Pelodiscus sinensis: one gene and its partner. The protein of the gene in region 1 purifies or fractionates together with the protein of each later gene. This does not show direct contact. Links are inferred from orthologs where the notes say so. Each region holds a gene or a part of one and is shown on either strand. Other genes may lie near its edges.

Region 1 (7,069 bases):
CGACACTGAATTTGGTTTGTCTACTTATCTCACATAGGTGTTTGAGGCTTTATTTGTAAAATGCTTTCTAGCCCCCAACTGAAGACTAAGATGTGAATTATTACTCTTAGGTATTCATATCTTGCAGAAATGCTCACTTGGTTTCATAATGAGTTGTTGATAAAATAGAAGGGGGGGAGGGGTTAACAGAGTTTACAACTTGTAATAACTGGTAACTTCTTGGGTGGAAAAGGGGTATATATTCATATCCATACTTTAAATCCCAGCTCACAAACAAAATTCTGTGTCTGTACAGAGTCTAGCACAATGAAGTCCATTCTTGTGTGGCCACCAGCCCTTACCATAATAATTTGTTTTACATTATTTATAATTTTCCACTCTGTTGGGATTTTCATTTTAGACTTAATAGTTTTAAAAACTCTGCAAGCATCTTTGTCTGTCCGTTATAAAGAAAAGGCCATTGAGTTCTGTAACCCCTAGGAGTAGACCCATCACCATATGGACAAAATCCGCTACTATCCCCATTGCATTGTAGCAGTGGCACCAACAGCCAACTCAGGTGCTTTCTTGGACGTGTTCCCCCAATTGAGGCAAACCCAGCCATGCTATGTTTCCCTCCAGCTTCTTTTCGACCAGCTGTCTAGCAATGACTACACCATCTATCGTAATTTTTACTTTTCTAAAACTAAAGCACTCAACTATTTGGCTCTTTTGGACAGTTTCATGCAGTGGGATGATAGCTTAATTCCTTGGTACTCTGGCCCTATGTGTCACATTTTTATTTGTACATTAGTACCAATTAGTCTCCACTCTGTTGGGATTTTCTTCTCTCTTCAATTTGCATACAGGACTCACATGAATCAGCATTTGCCAACCTCTCTCAAGGCTCTGATGGTTTCTGTTGTGACTTTGTTGAGTCCTGTTGCTTTTCCAGGTAACATCATCTGCACTGCAGCCTGGACATCTCAGAGATCAACATCCATAATAATTGGTTCACATTACGGTAGTGTAGCATATCTTAAGTATATCACAGTGTTTTCACTGTTACTTACAAGTCTTCTATCACAAGAGGTCTGCTCCCTATATTTATGAATGGTATGTTCCCTCCCTTCCTTCCTTTTTTTTTCCTTGTTCATATGACTGCATATTTTTTTTGAGAGTAGTTGTTGATCTCATAGAGCTTATCTAAATTTAGGGTTCCTGACTGGCTGCTTGCTTGGAAGTTCTATATGTGGCCATGTGTTCTTCCAAAGAGGTCTTTTTTCTTTGCTTGTTAAACTATTTTTTCATGAGACACTGGTCTCCCCAGCTGTTTAACTTCAGATCAAAACATTCTTAGATAGACCACTCTAATTCTGCTGTTACAATTTGTGTACCTTTTGCCTCAAACCTTTCCGCTCTTTCCCTAAACTTATCAACAGTACCCCACACAGTCTCTGTATCCTTGTTCATGTCTCACTGGCACAAAGATCATGCCAGGACCATTTGTCAGTTGAAACTGTACCAGTGGCTTGTGTTGGGATGTGATCATTTTGCTCAACATAAATTTACAATCCATAACCTCCTCCTCTAGCTCATTCAGACTAGCAAGAAATCTATTTGCCTGCTTTTTTTGCTGCTTCAGAAGGTGCAAAGATGACTTTCTCTTCTTTTGAACTAAGTGTCATTTATCCACTGTAGGGATATTACATTTTGACTAATCAGCTAATCTAGTACTCAGTGGATTTTCCGAGTACTCAATTGGTTGATAAGCAATGGGGGGAGGAGGGGGCGCTTGCAATCCCAGCTGCGCCATTGCCTTTTAAATGTAGCAAAAGCTCTGCAGGGTTCTTACTACATCTAAAGGCAGAGGTACAGTAGAGGGTTCCAACTACTGCGCCTCCACTTTTTAAACGTAGCAAGAGCCCCGAGGGACTCTTGCTACATTTAAAAGGCAGAGGGGCAGTGGGGAACTTGGGGCAAGTGGGAACTCAGGCAGTATGGGGTTCTTGCTACACTTAAAAGGCTGAAGTGCAGCAGTCAGACCCGGTGCAAGTGGGCACTACTTGAGTCCCCGCACTTGCTGTTTTCCCCGATTCGCCTCCGCCCCCCTTGCTCCCCCCCATAGATGGTACTGCGGGGAGACGGTTTTTAAGCCAGCTCCCCCCAGCACTGGTTCCTGTTCTTCCCCCCCCTGGCCTCCCTTCTTCCCCCCCGCCTCATATAGAGGCAGCAAGGGGGGAGGAAGCAACTAGTGGAGTAGTGACTCGACTAGTTGCTTACATCTCTAATCCACTTATTACCTGAACCCATCTCTAGCAGTGCAGCCACATTTACATTCTGTAATTCCAGTGCATACTATCCTGTATCTGGTCATAGCCTGATTGACTTGAGCCCCCAGCAATAATTCCTATGGTCTGGCAATAACTTCTAGTTTCTGTAGGCCCTTCCTAACCTTTTCTTCAGGACATTGGTTGTCACCAGCTCTGAGACACTGGCCATTTTGAATGTTTTTATAGGATTGAGACCTTGACACTGACCTTCCCCAGGCCATAGCAATCCTTTGGGAGATATGCCTCAGTGCCATTGACCCCCCTGTAATCACACCTACACTCTCCTCCCCCTACCCCCATTGCCCTGACTTCTGCATCCCCCACATCCTCCAACCCTGACTCCTGGACCCTCTCACAACCAGCCTCCTCCCCCTGCCCCAAGCTCCTGCTATCTTCCACAACAGTGCCACCGCCTGCTGAGCCCCCTACACTGCACCCCACTTTCAATTCTTAGGAGCATTGTCATATCACACCTCCCCCTTTCCTCTGCCCTGAGCCCCTCCTCAGGGGACACAACAGTAAATAAGAAACGTTATTTTCACTGCTTATGGAAAAAAAAACCTTCATTCCACCTGTGCAAAAGGATAACGAAGGGCTGCTCCCAGCACCTTGTCTCATGCTTCCCTCAAAGGCCAAAGAGAAGCAGTTGAGTGAAAGCTAGGAGCTGAGAAACTGCCACTACTGTTGGCCGCACTCCAAGGAAACCAGGTGGCCAATCTGCCATTACTGCGCACATCATTAGGTGCCCCACGGCACACATCAGCATCACTATGGTTTGTTGTAAACCATGCTCGCACTGCTATGGCATCTGCATGGGAAATCAGTGCAGAAAAAGGTGGGAACAGACTGCTTCGCCCTGATCTCATGGGCAGGGACTAGACAAGCCTATGATGGGATGCTGACATCAACCCATAACCACCAGTTGCACAGTTTTGATCACAGCGGGCACCCAGAGCAGAGACCAGAATACAAAGCTACACGGTGCATCGTGCTCCGAGTGGACGGCGGAGTCCCTGACGGGGGCAGGTAGTTCCGACTACATCCAAATCTTCCCCACGGCGAGCACGCGGACCTCTGGACTTTGCAGAACCGGTGACCAGAGACCGACCATCATAGAGTCTCCCTTATCTCCCAGTGTCCACATGGCCCGAGCATTCGCAGGGAATCATTCATCCAAGATCAGGTCCTGTGCTGAAACCAACAGGAGCGCGCCTTGCCCAGGCAAGCCCGAGAGCCTGGCGAGCGGGCAGCTCCCACGCGGCGGAGGGGAAGCCGGCGGGGCTGTGAGAGCAGCAGGCGCCAGGATCTCTGCGGCAGGACTGCGCGCGCAATCCCAGCGCGGCGGCGCGCGCTGCCTTCCTCGATCCCTTTGGGCTGCGAGCTCCGGGCAGCCGCCACGCGCCTGCGCAATGTAAGCGCGCCCTTTCCCCGTCAAATCGGGCGGCCTCGTTCAACTTCCGGTTCGAGGAACGCACGCGCTTCCGGGTCCGGGCCATGGAGAGGTGAGCGCGGCAGCCTAGCGGGGCTCGGGATAGTGGCCGGCCTGGCCCGGAGGGAGCCAAGGCCCGAGCCGGGACCCCCAAGTCTCCCCTCCCCCCACCGGCTCCGCGGCCTGGCGCTCCCCTGAGGCTCTCGAGCGGCGGGAATAGGCTCTTGGGGCCCTTGCAGAGAGACCCGCCCCCCTGCGGCTCTCTCGGGAGTGGCGGCAAATAGAGCCGGAGCCGTAAGGAGCGGGGCCGGGCAGAGCGGTGAATGCGGGCGGGGGGGGGGGGGTTTGACCAGGCCCGAGCGGAAAGGGCTGCTGTGCTCCTCTGCCTGCCCTCCCGCGTCACTCGGGCCGCAGGGCTTCTCCAAAAACAACCTAGCGTCCTGCAGCACCTTAGCGCCTGTCAAAACATGTGGGAGGTGTCATGAGCTATCGGGCGCACAGCTCAGTGGAGTTTAAGGGGTGGGTCTAGTTTTCAAACAGCACAGAGAAGGGAATGGGGGGGGGAGAGGAGGAGAAAAAAGGGAGGGAGGAATTGACAATTAGAGTGTCCATGCTGCATGAAGCTGGTAAGAGTATTTAGTACTCATTTTAAGTACCCTTTGTTTGGTTTTTATCATTAGGATGTGGAACGTGGTAAGAATCAAACTTGTAAATGAAAATAAGTTTTGTAGCTCTGCTCTTGAGCTGGCTTTTGAAATTGGTTTGAAATAATATGGTGACTTTGAGATCCATTAATGAGTGTCCAGGCAAGTTAGACTTAAACTACCTCTGACACTTCTTCACAGTAATTCTTGCTGCTGCCAGGCCAGTGGCTCCCGTCGAGCTAGAGCATGTCTTTTTGATGAGGAATAGCCAGTCTTGATTTTTAAATCTTCCATGGTGCAGATTCAACTATCTGTGGCTGTTTTGTGCACAAATCTCCTTGGTAAATTGTTCTGATGGTCACATACCACTCACTTTTTTTAACAATGGAGATATTTCTACTCTGAATTTGTCTTGTTTCAACTTCAAGTCTTTGCATCTTGTTACATGTTTTAATACAGCTAAATGCAATGTCTTATATTTAGGACCAAGGGTATAGGTCACACTAGAAAAATTGGGATTTGTGTTCTGGAAATCAGGGACTCTGAGAGGACTTAAGAATCATAAGTGATAATTAATTGAACATTTTAATGTGTTTTTAATTTATTTAAAAGGGCAAATGCAGTCCTTGTAGGGGGGATACCAAGTAGGAGCACAGAGGACATATTACCTCTGTATGGGTATGTCTAATCTACATCCCTCTGTCGAAAGAGGTATGTAATTTAGGCAAATCAAAAGTGCAAATGAAGTGGGAATTTAAATATCCTGCACTTCATTTGCATAATGGTGTCTGAGTGCTTTTTTGAAAAAGGGTTTTTTGAAAGTGAAAGCACCGTCTAGAGGCGGTTCTTTTGGGAGTGTGGGGGGAACCTTTTGAAAGAGCCTGTACTCCTCGTTCTCCCAGAGAAAAATCTAACACTGGAAGATTAGCAGGATTTGGAATTTCAGGCAAATATTCACTTTTGCCAGTCTAATTTTGACTATGGAAAAGGCTAGCATCTGATTTAAAATAACATTACAGAAAGGGTTCACGGCAGCTTAGGGCAGGTCTGCCCTACAAATTTATAATAGCACGCACTTCCTTCTAATTTTTTTCACGTATGTGTGGAATGAATTTTATGTGCACTAGAATTGTTAAAATGCGTGTAATTAAGTAACTGTGTAACTGCTGAAAATTTCAGCGGTTACACACAAGGTTTGCAGACAGGCTGGAGTGGTCCCACCTTAAAAGGGGTAAGCAGTTAAACATTATGTTTAACAGTTAACCAACTGGTTAGGATTTTACATCCCTAGTCTAAAACAACTGAAGTTACCAAGTGTTCTGTCTGTAGCTTCTAATATGGAACATATTTACATAAGAAATAGATTAAACAAATCCTTTGCATAAATGTAGCATATTAAGGCTCTTGCACAACATTCTCAAAAGTATTCTGACTAATGGTTGTAGCTTCCACAGCATTATGAGAATCCAGTATTCCACAAGACTTTTTTTTTCAATAAAGGCTATTTCTGGATAGATATTAGTATTTGGTATTTCAGTTTTAAGTTTTTGTTGTTAGTTTCTTTTTTTAATTGGGTTTTGTATTTAGTACCATCCAGTTACTTGCTACACTTCTGATTCTTTTAGGAAACGTCATCTGAATGTGTTTAACTGTAGCAACTGTGTTCCTGTTTTGTAGGAATGAATTTGGAGAAATGTCATCCTCACCAGATATAGAGGTGACCAGGCCTGCTCGGAAACAGAGCTCTAAAAAAAGAGTTTCTAGTATCCTTTTTCTGTCAAGCTTTTTTTCTGTCCTGTTTTAAAAGGTATAAAAGTTGTGATTGCTTCATGCCACAGTTAACTTTTCTTGATTTGGGGTTCAGTAAATGAAGACTTTCCAAAAATTGAATTGTCAGTTGAAGAATATTGCAAAACTTATTCCTTTAATTTAATACACATTTGAAGTCACAAGTTACATTAATGTGTACTTTAAAAATTTGACACTGAGAGTAAAGGAGCCCAACATGTCTGCTGTTGCTGGTAGCTCTCTGACTACAACAGAATAAAACTAACAAGATGCTGACCCTTTTCGCTATTCCAAAGAGCAGCAGGGAATTTGACAGGAATCATGTCAGTTCCATGCTGGTTTGCTTTTAGATTTGCCTTCATGCACTGGAATTATGTATTGAGTAGGAGGGAACCACAAAACAAATTGAGGAAATGGTTGAGGAGCAGAGAATACTTCTCCCTGTTCCCCTCCCCCAAGCAATTAGCAGACTTGTGTAATTAGAGAGCAGATATAGAAAGTTCTTTTTCTTTCAGTGAGGGATGAAATATCAGATAAAGCAGATATATTCTAGCCAAAGGCTGATGTACTAATACCTTCCTAGATCCCTTATGGTGAGTTTCCCTTCGTATGCATGCTCATCTTCACTATCCGCCTCTGTTTAGTAGGTTTAGCCTTAGTCCTCTAGCTATTAAATCTCAGGTAAATATTTCAGGCTTCTTTAACAGGAATTATCTCTTAGCCTTGGTAAATTTAGTGGACTAAGTGGACATTCCCTGTGATATCTTAAGGATTTCTTAAGATGCTGTGATGCATGGGTGGGGAACCTTTTTGGGGGTTTTCAGACCCTCAGAAAAATAGGTTGGGGGGCCACACGCGTGATAAGCAAAAACAAAAAACCCTCACATTGATATGGT
Region 2 (7,675 bases), on another chromosome or scaffold:
TTTGGGCATGTCTAGACTACATAGATTAGGGTTGTAGGCAAAGGGAAATGAAGCAGCGATTTAAATAATTGCTGCTTCATTTAAATTTAAATGGCTGCCGCTTCATTTCCCTTTGCCGACTAAACAAATCTACATGGCTCCTTCGATGGAGACACGTAGTCTAGACACACCTACTGAAATATCTATAGACCTAACTGGGAATTTACATGTATAAGAAGGGAAGCTCTTACCATGGGACTCTGGGTTCAGTCCTGCAAGACAAGCCTCAGAAGAACCCCAACTCCTCACTCAGTCAGCTTTGCCTGGCCAGTAAAACTGACTTGAGCCACCATGGACCAGTAACTATGCACCATCTGCAGGACGTGCGTGCGTATGCATCTGCATGTGTCCTTATAAAGCATATGCTAACTGCTTCTCTGCTGTATTCTCAATAAACACGGTGTATTGCCTTTTCCCTGAAAAAGATCCCGTGTGCTTCTTATAAGCATAACGAACAAACTGGAAAGTCATGGCAGTCGGGAGCCCAGGAGCCACTCGCTGGCCAGGAAGGAGCGGGCAACACAATGATGTGCTACCCAGAGGCTTTCCCCACTGCAATGGGGCACAAAGTCAGGTAAGCATGTCCCCTCATACTAAGACCCCTGCACTGCAATTCCCCTCACTTGCTTCTCTCCCCCCACCAAGACCCTGCACCCCCAGCTTTCTCCTACATCTTCCCTTGCTCCTGCACCCTCCCTTGCTCTTGCTTCCTCCCCCTGTCCAGACACCCTACCCCCAGCCTGCTTCTACCTCCCATCCAGCCCTCTCACTCCCACCCCGATCCAGCATCCCCATCCCTATCCCACTCACTGGCAGCCCTGTCCCATGCACTGCACCTCTCATTTTTGCCCCCACCCCAGAGCCTTAGGTTTCCACAAAACCTACTAATTCTGGAACCCCAGAAAAGTAAATCTAGCCTATGGGAAGCCCTGAACCTCAATCCTCGCTGTCCCTTCCCCTCGCTCCATGGGGTTGGAGCACCAATGGAGTGAGTTGTCTCAGTTGCGGGCCACATCAGTGTGGGTTGGGGGCTTTGGAAGGAGTTTTTTTTGCTTTTTTATTTGTGTGGTCCTCAGCTGATTTTTCTGTGGGTCAGTGGTCTCTGACCCTAAAAAGGTTCCCCACCCCTGCCATACACAAAGAACACATTATGTGTTGGACATAAATTAATATTTTACTTGATTTAAAATGAAGCTTGATAAACTAACATGAGAAAGTTAAAATGCTTAATCTGTTTAATAATTTAAATTAAACCATTCTCTTTAGCTGCAGCACTTGCAAAATGGCTCAGGGTTACTTATGTAATTACAAGTGAGTTTCCATTAGCAATTGGTGGTCTACAGAAAGGTTTGCATTGAGCCAGGTAGTCCATGGGCCAAAAAATTTGAGAACCGGTGCTTTAGTTTCCTGATCTTTCAGCACTTCAGCTAGTTAGCTGAAAGGCTGTTCAAAACACAATTCATAAAAAAAAAGTAGGAAGTGGATACCATTGCTCAACTAAACACATTCCTTGCATTAAAGATACGTCTGCGCTGCAATCATCGGGTGTAACTGTAACCCCTGTGGGTATGCCTGAGCTTAAACCTAGCTAACTCAGCTACCACATCAGTGAAGCCATAGCAGAGTGGAAAATGTGTAGGGTGGTCAGCCTTTGCTAAAGCCTAAGTGTCAGTTTCACTGCTCTGGTACATGAGCTAGCTAAATTAAAGCTTGGGTATGACCACATGAGTTGCAGTCAAAGCCCATTATACCAATATAGATCTACCCTAGAACCAATATACCATTTTCCCACAAACTTAAAAAGACAAAATAAAAAGCATTAGGATGTCAGCACCATCATAAGCTAGTCAAGAACCCAGCTTTGAGTAGGGATGTTAGCAAAACATCACTGCATTTAGCCATTTATTTGTACCTCTGGACCCCGTGCTCCATTCATCTGAAGAAGTGGGTTGTGCCCACAAAAGCTCATGATACTATCTACATGTTTTGTTAGTCTCTAAGGTTCTGCAGGACCATTCATTGGTTTTTTCTATTATTATTATTTTCAGTTACAGACCAACATGGCTACCCCTCTGAGACATTTAATTCTGTAAATGTGTAACCGTTAAATTTTTCATTAGTTACACATTTACATGCAGGAGTAGCAGGCGGGAGCCAGTACTCGCAGGGAGCCATCTTTTAAGCACCGCAAGCACTGGCTCCCACCTGCTACTCCCTGCCCCTTCTTCACTGCCTCAGAGGCAGCAGTGCTGGGGGAGGAGGGGGGAGGCAGCTCTGCAGGAGCCCGTGGTTGTGGCAGAGAAAAAAATCAATACAAATAGTACAAGGTAACAATGAAAATACAGATTATCAATTTTGGGAATGGCAAAAAAGGAAGAAATTAAAATGGTAACATATTTTGCTATGTTAATCATTCACAAATATATAAAAGAAGTGACACTAAAATGATCTTCACAATCTCATTTCTACTAACACCTTAACACACATGAAACTTCTACAGGTGGGACTTCTCTGGTTGGGCACCCTCGTGACCTGGGCAGTCCCAAACCTCGGAGTTTGCCGGACCCAGGGAGATCAAGGCTCTCCTTCAGCCCTGCTCCCCATCGCCAGCCTCTCTGCCCCAGCCCCTCTGGGGCTGCACTCTTGCCCAGGGCCTATCGGCTACTTAAAAGGTTTTACAGCTGAATATAGATAATAAGCCCTATATGAACATGTTAATCTGAGTTACATTCACATCACAAAAGCCTATTCACTTTCATATAGCAATTTAAACAGTTACCTGTCCTATCAACAAGCCTGTGACACAAGTCTTTGGCTTGGTGCTGAAGTCTGAAAGATACTGTCCAACAGGTTCTTCCACAAAATAGCTTCTTCCCATTACTGCAGGTTTAGCCTAATTTCCATCTATAAAAAGAGAATATATTAATCTACTTTTTAGAGGTACTTAGTCCGAGAACATAAGGTATAGGAGAGTAAGAACACAGAAATAAAGTGTCAGAAAAACACCCTGAGCATATTAATATGTTACTGATAATTTTACTGAGTTCTAAAAGTCTCTCTCTGAATAGGTAAGTATATTCTTAACATACTTGTATGAAAAAGAGGTATTTTAAATGTGATAACTGTGAAACTGACATATCAAATAAAATATCTTCATTTAAAGTCTTGAAACGATAATTTACAAATGACCTATGAAACAACCTTCAACTCTTAATGTTCACCTCCAATTATTGTCTCATGAATTCACAATTCTCAGTCAGACTCCCATCTCTAGCCTATAATCACATCACCTGCAAATAACTGCTGCCTAGAAAAAAATGAAAGACTAGTCCTGGCTCAGTCCACAATAACTGCATTCTTTAAACATGCTCATTCCCTTCTTCAGACATGATTTGCTTTTTAAGCCACAAAAGTCTGTCAAACAGGCCTGTCTTACACCTTCCATTTGCAGGGTTTTGTTTGTTTTAAAAAATCCCTGAACACAAGATGTAGGAGGTGGGCATAGGGGGATTCTCTCTCCCCTGGCGGCCAGGCTCATATCCTTCAATCTATTTGACTCACTCCTTCCAAACTAAGGATGTTAAGAAGCAGGTAATTGACTAATCATATAGTCGACACAATTTATATCAACACACAATTAGTTGATAAGGGGCACCGTCCCAGACCTGGCGCAAGAGGGACTGAGCAGTCCCAGCTCAGGCCATGTCCCAGACCCACCCCCGCTGCAGCTTTGCCTTTTAAATGTAATAAGAGCTGGGTGGCTCCCTACTACATTTACAAGGTAGAGGTGCAGCAGTCCGAGACCCAGTGAAAGCTGGAACTGAGCAGTCCCATCTTCCAGACCACTGTGACTCTGTCTCTCCTCCCCCACCCCACACCAGAGAGGGCGCTGGGGGGGACTGGATTTTAAGCTCCCTTCAGCACCAGCTTTCCCCCCTCCCTTTGCTACTCTGTATCAGGCGGTGGGGGGTGGGGAGGACAGTCGAGTACCAGTGGAGCCTAGGCTTATCGGGCAGTGAACTAGTCACTTACATCCCGACTCCAAAGGGACACAGTAAAATCAAGAGAGAGAGAGCGAGAGAGCGAGATCTACACCAAAGAGCTGAGAGGCGACGTGGCAGGCGCCAGGACTTGCAAGGTGCAAGCAGGCGGAATCCACTCGTTCGGGCAGCCCCCGCGCGGGCGGCGAGCCAGCACCTCCGACCGGGGCCATGTTCCCTCTGCCCCACCAGCTCTCCCCCTCCGCGCGGCCAGGCCCCCGGCGCCTTCAGACACGCTTCCCCTCCCCCACCAAGGTCAGCCTCCCAGCCAGGGCCACAGCTTACTGGTGTCCCCACAGATGCACATCACCAGGCTGCGCTGCGCTCCGCTCTCAAGGCGCAGGTTGATGACGTAGGATCACTGCGCCTCAGGTCTCTTTCAGGTTCTATGATTCGAGGAGAGAAAACTCTCAGCGCCGGAGGTCGGGCGCTGGTTGTTGCCGCCCATCGGGGCCCGCCATGTGCTGTGTGGCAGAGGTCGCTGCGCCTCTTTCTTGCCCACCCGGGCCGCAGTGCCTCGCCCATCATGGCGGACAGGACGCGACTTGCGGAAGCTTTCGCACACGAGTTCCGCTTCCGGTGGCGCCTGCGGTCGGTTGGCTACTGTGCGCGCTCTGTGCGAGCCGGGGAGGCGAGCTCTGGCTGCGCGCTGCTCGGGAGGCGGTAGCGAGGTTAGCGGCTCCCTCCCAAGATGGCGGCGGTGCTGCAGCAGGTCCTGGAGCGGGCCGAGCTGGCCAAGCTGCCCAAGCCGGTGCAGGGGAAGCTGGAGCGCTTCCTGGCCGACCAGCAGACCGAGATCGACGGGCTCCGGGCCCGGCACGAACGCTTCAAAGTGGACAGCGGTGAGTGGCGGGAGCCGGGCCCGGGGAGACGTTGATACGCTGCTGTCCCTGGGACCAGGCCTGAGTCTGCTGCCAGGCAGGGGGGCCGGCCCCCGGGCTTGGGCGGACGGTTCTCCCGCCCGCCACGGAAATGCACCAGGAACCGAGTGTCGAGTTGTGACAGCGGCCACTGGCTAGTGACAGACCCTGGCAGCAAAGGGGTAGCGCGAGAGGCAACGCTGTGGGCAGCTCTCCTGGTGCGGACAGAGGCGTATAAACGTCCCCCACGGCTTTCACTGCTGTGTAGCGGCACTGAGGGAGCATTACACGTGTTCTAGGAAGTGGATTCCTTTGACTTTTAAACCCTCCTTCTCCACTTAGGCCTTGGTCAACAATATTTGCAGAACTCAATAAGAGGCTGCTCTTCGCGTGAAGTTACAAGTTATTGCTTTACATTAAACGCCTAAAATTAATTGAAAATGAAAGGGAATGTACTTATTGAGTGAGATTCTCTATCTGTTCCCTAAGTTAGGCTGTTGCTTGAGGAAGAGTATAAGAGCTTTGTTTGGTCTACACTGCAAAAAAGAACATTGCTACAGTGGTTCTGTGAGCCCGGGTCTACACACTTTGTGTCCCAGAACTAAAAATAGTTATGAAGATATTCCCATTTGGGAATAGTGATAGAGATGCAGCCATGTTAGTCTGGTCTAGCTAAAACAAAAAACAGGACTATGTAGCACTTTAAAGACTAACGAGATAGTTTATTAGGTGATGAGCTTTTGTGGGCCAGACCCACTTCCTCAGATCAATCTTCTGCAAATTGATCTGAGGAAGTGGGTCTGGCCCATGAAAGCTCATCACCTAATAAACCATCTTGTTAGTCTTTAAAGTGCTACATAGTCCTGTTTTTTGTTTTAGCTATTCCCATTTTGGGTCTGAGCCCTAAGGAGGGCATTGATTTCAGAGCCCACGTTCTAGTGGGAACTTCTATACGTCTATTTTTAATGCTATAGTATGAGTCTGGTTTTATAAACCCAGGTTCTGAGACTCAACAGCTGTGTTTTGGTGTTTTTTTATTTTTTCAATCTAGACATATTCTGAGGGAGCCCAATCCGGCAACACTTCCAGTAAACTCAGTTTTTGAAACTTTAACCTTTCTGAATGATCTGCAGTTGCTGGAAACAAAACTTTGAAAGGGTGATTGAATTATCACCTATGCAACACTTTGGCTTCCTGAGTGCTGTAATCCAACCCAGGCTTTGGGACTATAAGGTAGTTCCTTCTGGCATTATATGGAGATATACCTATTTCATATAACTGGAAGGGACCTTGAGAGATCAAGTTCAGTCCCCTACCCTCAGGGCAGGACCCAAGTACCATCCCTGATAGATGTGCCCCAGATCCCTACATGGCCCTTTCAAGGATTGAGTTCACAGCCCTGGGTTTAGCAGGCCAATGCTCAAACCACTGAGCTATCCTATCTCTCTTCCCTGCTTAAACTCTTAAGATTTTTTTTGAGACAATGACATTGATTATATATGATTTTATCACCTAGGGATGTTAAATCAGTTAACTGGTTAAACACTAGCACTTAACTGTTTTAACTTATGTCCTGCCGCCATAACTTATGTTGTGGGGTCCCATTGTTCAGCCTGCTGGCTTCTCTGCAACTGGGGCTGCTCCAGCTCAGAGTTCACTGGCAAGGGCCAGTTAACCAATAAAATCACTGCTATCACCCTGGGCTCAGTTGGAAAGGCAACATATCTTAATGTCTAGAACGGAGGAGTGGGACCAGGAGACCTGGATTTAATATCTGGCTCTCTCAGTGGGTAACCTTGGGCAAGATACTTCCCTGTGACTCTATTGCTTTGTAAAATGACATTAAAGATACTGATGTTTGTAGAACAGGGGTCTCAGTCTCCTGGCCCGTGAGCTATCCCCAGCCAGAGCAAGTGCTCAATCCAGACTGAGATTCCTAGGGGGACAGTGGAGGCTGTCCACTTTTGGCCCCGGACAGCCTCTACTCCCAGCAGTTGGCCACTCTGCCTCTGGAGTCCTGGCTGACCCCCACTCCCAACCACTGGGACTGCATCTGGCAGAGAGGTCCTACCTTTAGTTAGCAATGTAGCACTGCACTTAAAGTTTTCAGTAGAGCCTGGAGCAGGAGTGAAAGGATTATTTCTGGCATTTTTCTGGTAGATATGGTTCCCTAATAAAAACTAATTATGAAGTAATGTTAACATAATGTGTTGGTGTTGTACAGAACAACAGTATTTTGAAGTGGAAAAGCGTCTGGCTCAAAGTCAGGAGAGACTTGTAAACGAGACTCAGGAATGTCAGACAATCCGCCAGGAGCTAAACAAACTTAGTAAGTATAACTATGCATTGATTAACTGTTTTATGCTTGAATAACAGTTTGGAAAGTTATTTTTCTGCTCATATGATTACATCTATTGAAGTTATTTTGAAATGCTTAATACTCTAACCTTTCATTTCGTAGAAGTTAATTGATATTTTTTATTCAAATCCTTGCTTTCTACATGCAGTCTGTTTTACTGGAGTAAACATCTTATTTCATTTTATTCAAGAAAAGATTCTACAAACAAATGTGTGCAGTGTACCCTTATATCCAGGGCTCGCCGAACCACGCTGTCCGGCAATCTGCGCATGCGCAGGTCGCTGGAACCCAGCTCATCCGGGTTACAATATACTTGCCACAGGCGAGTAGATTGTATAATTTGTCGAGCCCTGCTTTATACCAATAAGGGTCAGGTT

Evidence for each region. The genes of interacting proteins can lie anywhere in the genome.
Region 2: the proteins of NUP107 (region 1) and TPR fractionate together in Homo sapiens (co-fractionation; 4 studies listed by BioGRID and IntAct, with this or other methods). This does not show direct contact. The link is inferred for Pelodiscus sinensis from reciprocal best matches to the Homo sapiens genes NUP107 and TPR.

Annotation. Positions count from the first base shown.
Region 1 is NC_134711.1:63,435,170-63,442,238, forward strand, and holds the start of NUP107 (nuclear pore complex protein Nup107), read left to right. Parts: upstream 1-4,066; 5' UTR 4,067-4,222; coding exon 4,223-4,260; intron 4,261-4,577; exon of another isoform or gene 4,578-4,726; intron 4,727-6,062; coding exon 6,063-6,148; exon of another isoform or gene 6,149-6,192; intron 6,193-7,069. UniProt on the Homo sapiens protein: Plays a role in the nuclear pore complex (NPC) assembly and/or maintenance. Required for the assembly of peripheral proteins into the NPC. May anchor NUP62 to the NPC. Involved in nephrogenesis.
Region 2 is NC_134719.1:54,932,205-54,939,879, forward strand, and holds the start of TPR (nucleoprotein TPR), read left to right. Parts: upstream 1-4,657; 5' UTR 4,658-4,770; coding exon 4,771-4,921; intron 4,922-7,163; coding exon 7,164-7,268; intron 7,269-7,675. Other genes in the region: ODR4 (protein odr-4 homolog), read right to left, coding at 2,819-2,917.